2 linked regions of the Diceros bicornis minor genome follow. The protein of the gene in region 2 interacts with the protein of the main gene of each other region in a biochemical or structural test. Links are inferred from orthologs where the notes say so. Each region holds a gene or a part of one and is shown on either strand. Other genes may lie near its edges. The genes, in order: TESC and SLC9A1.

Evidence for each region.
Region 1: the proteins of SLC9A1 (region 2) and TESC form a complex in vitro, tested with the Homo sapiens proteins (4 studies listed by BioGRID and IntAct, with this or other methods). The link is inferred for Diceros bicornis minor from reciprocal best matches to the Homo sapiens genes SLC9A1 and TESC.

Annotation. Positions count from the first base shown.
Region 1 is NC_080774.1:14,318,867-14,326,785, forward strand, and holds the start of TESC (calcineurin B homologous protein 3), read right to left. Parts: upstream 3,180-7,919; 5' UTR 3,077-3,179; coding exon 3,019-3,076; intron 1-3,018. UniProt on the Homo sapiens protein: Functions as an integral cofactor in cell pH regulation by controlling plasma membrane-type Na(+)/H(+) exchange activity. Promotes the maturation, transport, cell surface stability and exchange activity of SLC9A1/NHE1 at the plasma membrane.
Region 2 is NC_080752.1:42,843,736-42,850,950, reverse strand, and holds the start of SLC9A1 (sodium/hydrogen exchanger 1), read left to right. Parts: upstream 1-4,137; 5' UTR 4,138-4,929; coding exon 4,930-5,281; intron 5,282-7,215. UniProt on the Homo sapiens protein: Electroneutral Na(+) /H(+) antiporter that extrudes Na(+) in exchange for external protons driven by the inward sodium ion chemical gradient, protecting cells from acidification that occurs from metabolism.

The sequences.
Region 1 (7,919 bases), on a different chromosome or scaffold from region 2:
TTCCAGGAGAGTGCATGCAAAGTGCTCGGCACAGAGCCTAGTGCTCAAGGAATGATGTCAACCATCACCATCCTACGCTCGCCCTGCTCATCGTTTCTGGATGGAGTCCTCAGGAAGGCACCAGGCTGATTCTTCAAATCAGGGACCACCTTGATGCTCAGAGAGGCGAGGGGAGCCTAGCAACCCTGTGGGCACAGCCTGCTCTCTGGCTGCCCTGGCCCTAGGCTCTTCCCCCATCTCAGGGATGCTTCCCAAGGGTTCTGCCCAGCCCTCAGGATCCTGGGAGCCGATGTTCCCATGCCAAGCCGAGTACTTCACAAATAGATACATACATACATCATCTTATTGATGGGGGCACCGATGCTCAGAGAGGTCGAGACTTGCTTACGCTCATGAAGCTGGTAAGAGTGACACAAAGTTTTAACTCTTAGCTGTGGCTTAGAGTGACCAGGCCATACAAATGTGTTTAAAGCATGACCAATAATACTCAACACTTTACATACATTCTCTCATTTACTCCTTCCCAACAATTGGGAGGAAGGTATGGCTACTATCCCCATTTTACAGTGGATGAAATTGGGGCACACAGAGCACAAATGACTTGCCCAAGTCCACGTACCTAACAAGACCCCTTAAATCGGGGTCCTGCCACTACCTGAGCCCTGATTATGGCTGTGTCCTCATCACATACAATTCTCATTTGTTGTCCTCAACTCCTTCCTGCCCAGGGCCTTTGCACGTGTTGTGCCCTCTGCCCGAAATGCACTTTCCACTGATTTTCACGTAGCTGTCTCCTTATTTGGATTTCTGCTCCATTATCACCTCCTCAGAGAGGCCCCCCTGGTCCACCCTAAAGACATGTTTCACCATCTCTCCCCCAACTCTCCTGCCACTGTATTGTATCTTGTTCACAGAGCTTGACACCTATGGGGTGATTTGTTTATGCCGTGTGCCTGCCCTCAGGAACATCAGCCTCTCTGGGTCACCTCTAAATCCCCAGCTCCTGGTCGATAAACACTTGCTGAATGGGTAAAAGTGTCCAGACTGTGCCACCCTTTCAGAAGACTACGGGGCACCTTCTACCTACTTAGAATTCAGAGGACTGAAGGTGTTCATCTCCCACAGCCTGACCTCAGAAGCCCTTCCCTGACCCCTGCAGTCTCCCTTCCCTCTTTAGGGTGTGAAATTTGAGTTCTGGGCAGCAAAAAGGGAAGCCACATCAGCCCCTTCTAGGAAAGCTACGGAGCAGGAACGCTCAGTATCTGCCTTCCCCGCGGAGACCGGACCCAGGAAACTGACAAGATTCCCAGCATGCTCTGCGCCTCATCACCTGTCAAACCCACAATGGGGTGGAATTCCCCCTACTGCCTGCTGTGGGCGCTGCCTGAGAGATGGGGCTGGTGGCCAGCCGCCCCTTCCTGGCAGATCCCAGCTGCAGAGAACCCCCGCCTCCACCCTGCAGATACCAGGCAGCCAGAGGACACTCAGGAAATAACAAAAGCAGGGGAAACCCAAGAAAGCCCAGGAAAGAGAAATCCTACCTCCTGGCTCACATTAAACCTTGGGGTCGCATCGGACTTGAGGAAACTTTTTGAAGAAGTAAAATATTCACACATGGTTCACAACGAAAACATTACAAAGTTCACAGTGAAAAGCTCACTCTCCCTTCATCCCCTCCACCAAATCCCCCAATAAGTATTCATTATTCCTACTTTCTTGTGGCTCCTTCCAGAGTCCTTGATGCCAATAAAGCAGTTCCCAATATATACTCTTAACTCCTTTTTTTAAACAAAAAGGGTTCCATATTTATATACTGCACCACACCCTTTTTTCTCCAGTTGCAGAGTTTTATATCTGTACCTAGAAAGATACACATATACGTATGTGTATGTATACACACACACACACACACACACCAGTTATTAACGGCTTTCTGTAATTTTCACCCAATTCTCCTGGAAAGAGGTGTTTAGATTGGGGGTCAGGAGGGGTCGTCTTTCAGCCCACACACACAGGCTGGGCCACCCCTCCGGTGATCAACTACGGACGCTGGCTGTCTGCACTACACTCAGAGCAGGCGCCGGGAGCCAGCTCCCTCCTGGACACAGTGTCTGCAGCTCCCATTTCTTGAGCATCTCCCAGGTACGAGCAGAACTCCCCTTCCAGAGAGAAGGAAACCGAGGCTCAGAGAGGCAGAGTGACTAGCCCAAGGTGACACCGTCAGGAAGCGGTGCCGGCAGGGCTCACACCCGGTCTGTCCACCACCAAAGCCAGTCAAGCGCGCAGCCCGGCTGGACTCGGGCGGACGGGCGCTTCCGCTGTCACTGGCCTGCGGTCGGCTGGCGCGGAGGTCCGGCCTCCCCGTGCGCCCCGCCCCGGGGCGCGCAGCCTCCGCCGGGGCCGGAGACCCGGGAGCTGGAGGAACGTCGCGGGCGCTGCCTCGCTTAAACCTCCCAGCCAGCCGGGGCGAGGCGGGCGCCTGAACCCATTTTACAGACGGAGGACGAAGGGAGGCGCAGAGAGCCCGGCTCACCTGCCTAACGTCACACGGCCGGGAGCGCCAGAGCCCGGCTCCCACGCGGGTCCCGCCGACTTCAGAACTTCCCGCCCCCTGCGCACCGTGGAGCCAAACGACTCTCAGGTGCGGGGCGCGCACCAGCGCGCATCCACGGACGCCCGCTCTCCCGGGCCGGGGCGCCCGCCCTGCGCTGGGGGAGCCCGGCCCCGCTCCCTCTCCGGCCCGCAGTCCCCAGGCCCGGGGCTTCCCAGCCAACTCCGAGAGCACCGAAGCTGAGCGGCGCGGCACTTACTCAGCGTCGCCGCGGGGCTCCTGGCCGCAGCCTGCCAAGCGGCCGGCGGGGACCCATTTGAAGGAGGGGGAGACTGAGGCGCAGAGAGGGCCAGCCACTCGCCCAAGGTCACACAGCGCGGCGGCGGCGGGCTGGGAGCCCCCGGGCCAGCCAGCCGGCCGGCGGTCCCCGCTCCGGTCCCCGCGCCCGTGCCCCGCGGGGTACTCACAGCCGGTCTTGCCCACGAGCTCCCGCACCTCCTCGGACGCGGAGTGGGCAGCGCCCATGGTGTCCGCAGCGGGGGCCCGGGGGCGCGCGTCCCTCGCAGGCGCCGGGCTGGCGTCGCCTGCGCAGCGGCCGGTCCGCCCTCGGGTCCAGCGCGGGCCGGGACGCGGGCACCGGTCTCAGCCGCGGTTCCGCGTGGGGCCCCAGCGCGGCCTCTTATAGCGGCGGCGGGCGGCGCGCCGCGGTCCTAGCGCGCGCCGGCTTCGCGCACTGCGGGCAGGGGGAGCGGCCCGCGCGGGGCCGGAAACGGCGGGGAGGGGGACCCAGCAGCCCACCGCCAAGGTTCCTCGCTCCCCAAAGCAGCGGCCGTGCTCGTCGCGCCTCGCCGTTCCGCACCCTTGCCGGCTCTGGAGAGAAGCAGGTGTGAGCAGAGTTGGGGTGCAGGTAGGAGGGCTCCGGCAAAGTGAGAGCCCGGGAGGTTTCCCTGCCCACCCCCACCCCGGTTCCAGCACACATCCTCCCAGACCTCAGGAGCGAAACTCCCCTGGGACAGTGAAGGAAGACGGGAGCATTAATTCGTTCTGTGCTGAACAGCAATCAAGGGAATATAAAAATAGGACTCCAACTTGAATGCGCGTTGGGGGCTCGTTCCACCAAGTCCCCTCCGCCTCCCCAGCACCCTGCTGAAGTGGACACACCCACGTGCCAGACCGGCCCATCCTGGCGGCCCAGCCCAGGAGCTCGGGGTGGCGGTGTTGTCAAATTTTAGGAGCAGGGAGGTCCGCCCCCCCGATTCTGACTCAGGCGGGGACCCCCGGGGCGGGGGGGGGGGGGTTGCATTTCAGCCAAACTGCCCAAGAGCTTCGATGCAGGTGGACCTCGAGCCTACTGGGCGAAGTTCTGCGTTAAGATTCCTCGGGTTCAGTAGCCAGGCTGGGTGGCCAGCGCCAGTCCGGCCACCTGTCTGACTATGATTCCTTCTCCTAAAATGGGGATAATATAGTTAATGAGATGTCTATGAGAAGGGCCTGCCATGGGACACAGCACAAAGTCGTCTCTGTGGAGTCATGTCCACTTCACAAGGGAGGACTGATTCTCAGGGAGGTCACACAGGGCAGAAATTCGGAGTCCACACTTTCTGGTTCTCAAGGCCAGGCCTTCGGGCTCCATCGTGCTTGGTGACTTGGCCATCAATGATCGGCATGCATACAGTGTCTGTCCTGGGCGCCAGGCTCTGATAGGGCTGGGGTGCGGGCGCGGGTCCTTCGGGGCTCCCAGGTGGAGACTTGGATGGGCCCACCCACATCAGCTTCCCAGGGCACTGGGGAGGAGGTGTCCATACCTGTAGACCACAGGCCCAAGCAGAGGGTCACAGCCCTTTCCCGGGCAGGGTGCCTTTCAGAGCCACCAGGGGGCTCCTGAAACCTGCCAGAGCAGCGGTATCTGCCTGTTCCCCTCTGGTGGCATTCACAGAGCTGGGCAGCACCTGGAAGCTGCATTATAAAAACTCCCTTGGGCGGAGCTGAGGCCTAGTCAGGCTGGGGAAATGTTGGCTGTGGGGCATCGGCTGGTCTGAGTGAACCGGAAAGCTGACCCAGAGACTGCCTTTCGGGTCAGGATTCTAGAAACCCAGACTGGCCTCTGGGGTCAGGAAAGGGGTCCCCTTGGGAGATGTGGGCCCCTGAGCCAGCCCACTACCCACAACTGCTGGGAATGATTTTATTCTGGCTTACAATATCGGTTCCCGGAATTGTATTATATTAAATGATCCCAGGATTAAATGATGGGGCTTTCTGCTGGGGAGACAGAAAATGGTGCTCTCCTGACTGTGTCTCCTCCCCCTTGGCATGGTGGCTCCCAGAGCTAGAGGCAGGGCAGGTAGGTGGGGAGGAAGACCTGCGACAGTGCTCTGGGGCAGGGAGGGGGCACATGGCTTCACTCTGCCGCTCGGGGGATCACGGAGAGGCCCCCAGTGTGTGGGGTGAAGGGAGCCCGTCTTTACTTCATCACCTGTCTACACCGTCAACCTTGTCTCCCCACTGGCCGCCCTCAGCTCCTAGATGAACACATACACTTGTTCGTTCGGCCTGGAGCTCCCTCCCCTCCCCCTTCCCCAGGCCGGGCTTCCTCTTCAGATCGCAGCGTGATCACCTCCTCCCAGAGGCCTCCGCAGGGCCCCCATCCGCTCTCCTGGGTCTCCTGCCAAACAAGCCGCCTTCGCCAGCCTGCGGGGAGCTGAAAGAGAGGAAGCCTGGGGTGTTCTGACCACGGAGAATTTTTTTCCTCATTGCAGGGCTTGGAGAAATAATCAGGAACACCTTGTGGCAGCAGGAAAGTGGGGACAACAAGGCACAATTTGGGGGTTTGCGCGTTCATTTATTCATTGCACATATATTGAGGCCCTGCTGTGTTTAGAGCCCTGGCTGGTCCTGGAGCCACAACCGGGGATAACCAGCAGCCACACTTTCACTCCTAAGAACTCTTGAAGGAGTGCGGAGACAGAGACACAGGAGGTGACAAGGCAGGGGTAAACACGGGCTGACTTGGGCTCTCGCAGGGCCGCGGAGATCTGGAGTGTTCGAGCCAGAATGGCCCCTGGAGAGAGTCTGCTATCCCTTAAGCTGAGCTTCGGGGAGTCCATGATTGTCCCCAACTGTGGTCCCAAAGCCACACACCAAAGGCAAATACTGGGTGGAGAGACGAATCTGTGAGATTTGGGGGCCCCGCAGTGGCACCCACCCTCCTCTACCTGGGCGTTGCCCCCTCCTCTGGCAATGATGCACAGACGCCGCAGGGCTCCGTCCACACAAAGCCTGCTGCCGCCAGTTCCAGGACATCACGGCATTAATTCAATCCTCCCAGTGGCTCTGTCGGCGTCAGAGCACGAAGGAGGTCTGGCGCTCTGCATGGGGTCTGGCCCGGCTGATTGGATCTGTTGTCTGGAGCCATGGCACAGAGGCACCCCGTGTGGTGATCTTTATCCTCCCATCACACAGCGTGACCTTCTGAGGGCTGGCAAACACTTCAGTCACCAGGCTGAAGTGTTCTCCTTCTCCTGGAGGAGCTGATTAAAAACAGTGGCCGCAATTAGAAGGGCTGGTACCTGTGAGGCCCGGAAGGGCAGCTGAGCCCAGAGATGGAGAGGATGGTCCTCATTCGGCTCTCCCACATTCCTGTCTGGGAAGAAGACTCCCGAACCAAACTTGGGCAAGTGACTTCACCTCCCTGGGCCTCAGTTTCCCCATCTGTAAAATGGCAATAATAATGCTGCCTTCCTCAGGGTGCTTATGGGGGTGAAATGTGGATATTTGTAAAGTGCTTCAAACAGCGTGTAGGTAGCCAGGCTCTGAAAGGGAGAGAGGAAGCCCTGATGTGTAGCGTTTGCCAATTTCCGTGGTGTAAATACTCCCACTGTGGTCAATTTCAAGCTACCAATAATTTAATAGCTGGCTTGCAAAACTCCTGAATGTTTAACAATTCGCTCTTGCAAGCTGGTCCGAGACAAGTCAGCACACCACTACACAGTAGACTGTTATTATTATTCATATGTTCCTTCATTCATTCATGTACTCACTATTGAGGGCCAGAAATTGGGACACTACAGTGAAGGAGTCAGTCTCTACCCTCAGGGATCCCAGAGTCTGGAAGGACAGAGAGAAGCAGACCATCACTAATGGGTAGTACACTAATGGATACTGGATGCTGTGGGATCCTGGAGGAGAGGCACGCGACACAGGTACATTTCATTGATGGGAAAACCAAGGTGCTCAGAATGGGCGGTAAACCAGAATCAGAGAGCAGATAGGAAGTTGTGTAATGGCAGTTCCTGTAATGTACCCGTCTCACTCTCCTGTCCCTCTGATCACTTAGCTTGGGGGTACCCCCAAGGCTTGGCAATGTTCTGGGAGCAACAAGACACTTTTCTTAATCTTTGGGCCACTGACCCCAAGAAATTTATGGGGAATCCAAGTGCCATCTCCGTTGGCCTCTGACTTAGAGAAGACCACACCTAAACCACTTCAAACAAGTAAGGATTAGTGATGCTTTTGTAAAATGTATCTGGGCATGGCGGGGGTGGTGGTTGGATGGGGAGACCCGCAGGTGCCTTATGCCAGCGTCTTGGCTCTGACACACACAGTTTTAAGCTCATTCAGCCTCCTTCTGCTGGTTTCATATGTCTTGGTCTCTTGGTTTTAATGTCAATGGAATCAGAGATGAATCATCCCCGGGTTGTACTTTGAATTAAAGTTGTCCTTTGCGTCATTTTTTAAACAATCCTTTTTCACCCAAGGCACCCCGATCTTTTAAGCTAACCTTGGGCAACAGCATGCTGTAGGAGATAGATTCAGATCTGAGTTGGATCCCTGCTCTGCCATTCCTGGTGTGTGCCCTTGCGTTCGTTCCTTTGCCACTCTGAACTGTGGTGTCCTCATCTGTATAATAGGTCCACAATCCCACCTTTATCAAGAGGATTCAGCCAGGGTGAAACGGCTGGAATGCAGCACACCCTCCACAACTGTTCATTCCCTCCCTTGGGGGCAAATATCCAGGACTGTATAGCCCGCCTCGCTCTCCTCTTTCTGTTAGCCCTGCATTCCTCTCTTCCCCACGATTCTTAGGGAGACAAATGAACAGAATTCACACTTGAACCTCTGTCCAGCCCCCACTTCTTATTAAATCATTTCCGGTCTTGGGAAAGAATAGTTGTTTCTTCTCTTCGTTTTCTGAGAGGTTTCAACTCACCCCTGAGTTGGAAAATCGTGTCCTCTCGACTGCCTGGGATGAGGGTCCTTCTGGGTGTCCAGCTTCCCAGACCCTTCAGCTCCCAGTGAAGTGCCTCCTGCCCTCCCAGGCTGCCCTGCGCCAGCATCTACGTCACAGCCCAGACCGCAGAAGGATGCAGCT
Region 2 (7,215 bases):
GTGGTCGGGCAGGAGAAGTGTCACTATTAGTTAGAGTTACCATGTAGTAGCGTCAAGAAGGGAGATGTGTGGAAAGGCTTGAAAGATGTGAGGGAGCGAGCCAAGTGGATATCCAGGGAAGAGTGTTCCAGGTAGAAGGAACAGCAAGTGCTAAGGCGCTGAGGCAGAAGTGTGGCTGGCAGTATTTGAGAAATAGCACAGAGGCAATGTGGTTGGAGTGGAGTGAGTGAAGGGGAGATTGGAAGAAGAAGGCATTGCAGGGCTGTGATTTTCTACAACAAAGGAAAGAAAGAAATGAACTCAGTTACTGAGTGCCAACTATGTGCCAGGAACTGGGCTTGACATACAGCGGCATTTAATCCTTGCAATAACCTTACAAGGAAGGTATTATGACCCCACCTACCTTTTATACACATGAACAAACTGAGTGACAGAAACAAAAAGTGACTCGCCCATGATGTACAGCTAGTAAGTGGCCCAGCAGATCCTTTCCTCATACGACACATTATTTGCCATGTATCTGTTGGTGTCATAGCCATAGCAATTCCGTAAAATTCTCATCACTTTCAGTGAAAGGATGCAATGAGAGGATGGGGAGCAGACACAGTCTAAGCAGGGGGAGATGCCGCCCACGGCCCAGGCATCCTGAGACTGTCCAAGATCTTCAGGAAGAAGGGTCTGCAGAGAGTGGCCTCTCTGAGTCAAGAGCAGCGTGGGCCTGGAATAATTAAAAAATGAGTGGTGCCGGCCTGGTGGGGTAGTGGTTAAGTGCGTGCACTGCACTTGGCGACGCAGGGTTTTGCAGGTTCGGATCCTGGGCGCACACCGACGCACCGCTTGTCAAGCTATGCTGTGGTGGCGTCGCACATAAAGCAGAGAAAGATGGGCACAGATGTTAGCCCAGGGTCAATCTTCCTCAGCAGAAAGATGAGGATTTCCATCGGATGTTAGCTCAGAGCTAATCTTCCTCACACACACACAAAAAAAAGTGAGGACTTGCTAAAACAGGGTTACAAATATTGCATTATATTTTAACTGTTTACCTTTAACAAGACCATGCTTTTAACATGCAAATACACAGCAGTATAATTTATCTAAAATTATTAAATTTATATCATGCTGTAAGTGGTATGGTTTGAATATGGGACCAATTTCACAGACCTAAGAGTCTTGCTTCTAGCCTATCAATGTGTCTCTGTAACTGAATGCCTAATTTCACGTGACCCTCACATCAAAAGTCTACATTTGAGGCCCTTGGTACATGTAAATAAAGATAATGAGAGTAAATATATGTGGTACATTGCTGAGTGCTGCTCCAAGGGCTGTATGTACATTGGCTAATATCCTCATAACAGCCCCATGAGATTGGTACTATTATTGCCCACACGTTACGGAGGAAGGAACTGTGGAACAAGGAGGTTGATTGATTTACTCAAGGTCTTATAACTAGTGAGTGGTGTTGCTGAATCTGAACCTAGACAATCTGGCTATCCACGGTAGGCAACCCCTGTGCTTAACTCTTATGCTATACTGCCTGGGCTGGGCCTTGGCCATGGGCTGTCCCAGGTGGTTTCCCTCAGGGCTCTTTCTTGGTACTTTCATGTTGTTATAACCTTCTCCAGGCTGTAGAGGATCTCAGGGCTGGCATTTCCTGGCCCTCTGGGGTTCTGCTACCTCCCAGGCTGGCACCCAAGGACTCACTGAGGCCTGGAATGAGGGAGAGTCAGAGAGTATGGAGGATCAGTGTGCACCAGTGAACGTTGCCCTTGAGACTGGAAAGGACTATAGGTCTGAGGATTCTGGCCCTGTGTCACCTGTGGAAAGTCCCTCCACCAGCCTCATCCTTTCTCTGTCTTCTTTTTTCTACACTGAACCTGTGGTGTTTTGGATATTAGAAAGCTGACTTGAGTCCTGGATCTCCTACTAATAGCTGGGTGACCTTGGCCAAATGGCTTCATGTCTCTGAGTCTTAGTTTTTTCATCTGTAAAATGGAAATAAGAATAGTAGCTACTATTTATTGAGGCCCACTATGCACAAGGACTCAGATGGTCGATAAACCTGGGCACTTGGTTGTGAACTATACAGGACTGAACCATTGTGAGACATTATTGTCATATTCTGATCCTTGCTCTAAATGCTGTTATTCTCTGATTATTTCCATTATAGCTGATGTTCTCCTTTCATTTGCTCCCAGGTGACACAGGCCCTTGGCCTTCTCTGAAGTCTCTTCTAGGCTCTTCCATCATCTCCCAAGTGGCTGGACCTGTGCCAGGAGAATGTGAGAGACAGAGAATTCAGTTTAGTGTTGGCACCTTCAGTCACTGTCACATCACTGTATCATCATTTTATTTATTTATTTATTTTTATAATTTTATTTATTTATTTTTTTCCCCCAAAGCCCCAGTAGATAGTTGTATGTCATAGCTGCACATCCTTCTAGTTGCTGTATGTGGGACGCGGCCTCAGCATGGCTGGAGAAGTGGTGTGTCGGTGCACGCCCGGGATCCGAACCCCCGGCTGCCAGCAGCGGAGCGTGTGCACTTAACCGCTAAGCCACAGGGCCGGCCCATATTATCATTTTAATATAGCTTTTTGTGGAAGAATGGCATTTCTCAAGAAACTTGCCCAAATTATGAGTGCTCGATGAGTTATCACAAAACAACTGTATCTGTGTAACATTTGTAACCACCACCCGGTAAAGAAATAGAACATTATCAGCACCCTAAAACCTCTTGTTGCGCCCCCTTTCTGCCCCCTCCAATCACTCCCACCTCTTTCTTCCTCATGTCTTATTTCTGTGTTGCTAGAGCCCAGCACAAAACCCTGACAAGAGGCCCAGTAAATATTTGCTAAATTGAACTGAACTCTTTTGAAATCATTTTGTGATCTCGAGCTAGTCACTTTGACTTTCTTGGCCTTGATTTACTATTCTGCAAAACAGGGATGTAATGTCAATAGTTGTCAGCCCTAGTTGTACATTAGAATCACCTGGAGGAACTTTTGAAAAAATATCCATCATGCTTGGGCACTATCCTAGAGCAACTGAATCCAAATCTCTGAAGGAGTGTCCCAAGCAATGGTAGTTTTTAAAAGTTTTCCAATGATTCCAGTACACAGCCGTGACCTCTTGAATCTTACCGATTCCAACCAACACTGTATGTTCAAATCTCAGTTCCACTACTGCTAGGGGATGAATTGTGTCCTCTCAAAAGATGTTGAAGTTCTAACCCCCAGTACATGTGAATATAGTCTTATTTGGAAATAGAGTTACTGAAGATGATCAAATTCAGATGAGGTTATTCATGTGGGCCCCTAGTCCGGTCTGACTGGTACCTTGTAAAAAAGGGGAAATTTGGACCCAGAGACAGAGACACAGGGAGATCACCTTGTGAAGTTTGGAGTTGTGCTGCCGCAATCACGGAACACCCAAGATTGTCCACAAACCACCAGGAGCTAGGAGAGAGGCATGGAACAGATTTTCCCTCACAGCTCTCCAAAGGAATTAACTCTGCCAACTCCTTGATTTCAGACCTCTAGCCTCCAGAATACGAGACAATAAATTTCTGTTCTTTAAGCCACCCAGTGTGTGGTACTTTGTTACAGCAGCCCTAGCAAACAGACACAACTATTTACGTAGTAGCTAAGGAACTCTCTTCAGCTGTTTCCTCATCTGCAAAACTGGAACCATAATAGTGGTTCTCTGTGCCAGGCTCCATTCTAAACACCTTACATAGATTATCTCATTTAGTCATCACAGTATCCCTCTGATATAGGTACTCCTAGTATCTCCACTTTATAGATGAGAAAGCTATGGAACAGAGAGGTTAAGTAACTTGCTCAAGGTCACATGTTAACTAAACACATAAAATAATAATACATCCTTCACAAGATTATTGGGACGCCTTCATGAGATTGTGGATGTGGACGTGAAAACATTTTACCCATGTTCGAATCTCTGTAGATTCGGGACTTTTGCCGTCTCTGACTCTCCTTCCTCTGTCTATGCGATACTTCCTCCCCTGGGCGACAGGGGTCGCTGCGCTGCGCGGGCTCTGACAGATCCTTCTAGCCCGCTGCGCTGGCTGCTCGCTGGTGCCTATAAGTAACAGCGCCGGGCTCAGCGAGGCATCAGTCTGCCGCCACCGGGGCTGGGGCCGGGGTCAGGTCTAGATCTGGAGCTGGTCGCGGAGGAACTGAAGCTGGGCCGGGGCGGAGCGGAGCGCCGCGCCGGGGCCGCAAGGAGGGGCGTGTTGTTGCTGGCCCACCGCGAGCCGCCCCCAGCCCGCGCCGAGGCGCCCTCCCGCCAGGCCGCCTGCCTCCGCCTTCCACCTCCCTCCGTTTCCCCGGAATCTCAGCCCGGCGCGCCTGCATCCCGGCCGTTCTCTGGGTGGGGAAGCTCCCGGCCGCTTTCCAGCTTCACTCCTTCCTCGCAGCCTGGGCTCCCAGCCCCCTCTTTTCTTTTCCTGGACAGGGTCCCACCCTCTTCGGTCCCCTTCCTTTAGCTCAGGCTCCCTGCCCCTTCCCTTAAGCCGAGTCAGCTCCTCAAGTCACTTTCCTCGGCCGAGGGTCCCAGCCTTCCCTCTTCCTTTTCCTTGCTTGGGGTTCAACCTATCCTGTCCCTTCCTCTGACCCAAGGTGCAGTCCCTTCCCCACTCCTGCTTTCTCAGGCTTCCAGACCTTTTGGTCTCCTTTTCTGGTCCTTCCTGGGTCCTTGTCCCTTTTCCCCATTTTGGAGTTCTACATCGTGAACCCAGCCTCCCTCCACCTGCAGAGGACTCCTTCCACAAAAATTCCTTTCTAAAACATGAACTTTTCCTAGAGACTACTGCAGTCTCTCTTCCCACCTGCTGACCCCTTGCAACCTATGTCCCAGGTCTTACTCTCACTTTGCTAAGGGTCAAGGCCTACTGGGCGGAGGGAGCAACACAATGCTTCTGTGGTCTGGCATCCCTGGCCTCTCTCCTCCCCGAATCTTCCCTTCGTTGTTCGTGTTGGTAGCCTTGGTGGGGCTGCTACCTGTCCTCAGGAGTCATGGCCTGCAGCCCAGCCCTACTGCCAGCACCATCCGTGGCTCAGAGCCACCACGGGAACGCTCCATTGGGGATGTCACCACCGCCCCACCAGAGCTCACCCCTGAGAGTCGCCCTGTTAACCATTCCGTCACTGAACATAGCATGAAGACTCGAAAGGCCTTTCCAGTCCTGGGCATCGACTACTCACACGTGCGTACACCCTTCGAGATCTCCCTCTGGATCCTGCTGGCCTGCCTCATGAAGATAGGTAAGTCCAGTTTGCTCCACTGCTTCCTCTGCCACCAAATTGTTGAGCTTCTTGCCTCCTCCTTACCACTTGAGGCTGCTCAGGAATAAGGATCTGGACTACCCGTGTAACGTCGGCAACCTCCATTCTGCCATCTTGGTTCTCTTCAAACTCTATCTCTGTGACTTCTATGGTCTGAGGTCCCCCCAAGATTAGAGCCAGCATTGTGCATGGGAGAAAACAGGGTTAGAGCATGGGATGCTTCTGATACGAGATACCTTCAGCAAGGCTTCCAGGCCTGGCAAGTCTCCTTTGGTTGGGCCAGACCCCGAGGGGAGCCAGGCACCAGCTGTGTGTGAGACAGAGAAGAGTGTCTTCCAGCAAGCGGCACAGTCTGCTCTGTCAGCTGCAACCAGTGCATTTCCATGCTTCGTGGGAGAGTGTCCCAGGAGGGAGTGTATTTCTACTTGGCCTGGCTAAGGAGTTTGAGTATAGTGGGGGACCTGTGTGATGGAGACCTAGAAGTGTGGTGGAACATGAGGGATCCCCATATTCTCACCTTCTTTGTCCCCAGAGTGTTATCTGTCAGTTTTGCCTGCCCAGGCTAGTCGGGAGCCCCTGAGTCAGTTTCCGGCCCAGGAATACCATCCCATATACAATTTATGGGACAGGGGGCCCTGGAAATTTCTGAAGTCTGTTTGCGGGTGGAGAGGGAGTGGAGGAAGTTGAAGTGTAGTCTAGCCCCAGCTCACCTCTGGGTTGGCACCCGACTGTGTCTCAAGGTGCTGTCTGGGCTGGCCACTCACGTTGGCCTGCCATTCAGCCAAGTGGGAGATGGACAGGTGGAGGGGCTCAGGATGTTCTGGTCTGAAGAGACTTTGAAATGTTCTTTTTGGGAGAAGGAAACAGAAAAGTCATTCTCTTCCAGAAGGTTGGTCTCCCTGCTAGGCCTGACTACTTTTCTGCAGGGTGATTGATGGAGCTCCCCTGAGTCTGCATAGCCCAGAAGTCCCTGGAAGTGTGTCCAGGGGGGCTTTGAAAGCTGCCTTAGCTTTTTTTACCCCTGGTTTGATGTGGAAGGCATGAGGGCCTGAGACTCTGCTGGTTTGGATTTGGGGAGTTTGTGACTCCTGGCAGGAAGCCTTGTAGCTTGCCCAAGGACATGCAGGAGCTGGCAATGCCAGGCTGGTGTGAGGCAGGCTCTGGGACATGCTGCAGGAGTCCACTCTGTTTTGACAGATCCAGAAGCTGGCTTCCTGGTGCGGGGCTTTAGTGCTGTGACAGTAGCAGGGCCTGTACATGGAACTGGGCCATCAGTACCTATACCCTGATGGCAGCCAGCTTCCTGGAAAAAATCAGGGACTGGGCAAGGGAGCCATGTGTACTGATTCTGACAAATACATGACCTTGAACAAGCTGGGGCCTTTTCCTGAAGGTCTCGTGCACCAGTGAAACTGGCAAGACTCTCTAAATTTGACCATTTCAATTGAGTCATGAAACTTGTATCTTAATTTGTTGTAAGAAACTGAAGTGACTGTGATGTGTCATTTGCCTGTGTGAGACCAGGAGGAGACCTCACAAGCACTGTCTATGGTTTGCTGTCCTCTCTCCAACCACATCTGGCGTTGTGTTAGGGTCTTGGGGCTGGTACCCACACTGCAGGTCTCAGTGCCTCCTGGTGGGATGACAGCATGACCAAAAAGTTCCTACTCTGGGCAGTCAGGAGTTTGTCCCTGCAGGCCTGATATCTCTAGTTCTAACGGGGTCAGACTTGGCCTGCTTTGTCTGTACCAGAACCTGTGCCAGGGACCCTGGGCAGCTGGAGAACAGGGATGGTGCCATGGCAAGGGTACCAGTCTGGAAGTTAGGAAGCTCCCACCTCCCTCTATGACCTTGGGGCAGTCATGTGTCTCCATCTGTCACTTGATCTGTGTGGCCCCTTCCAGGTGTGACAT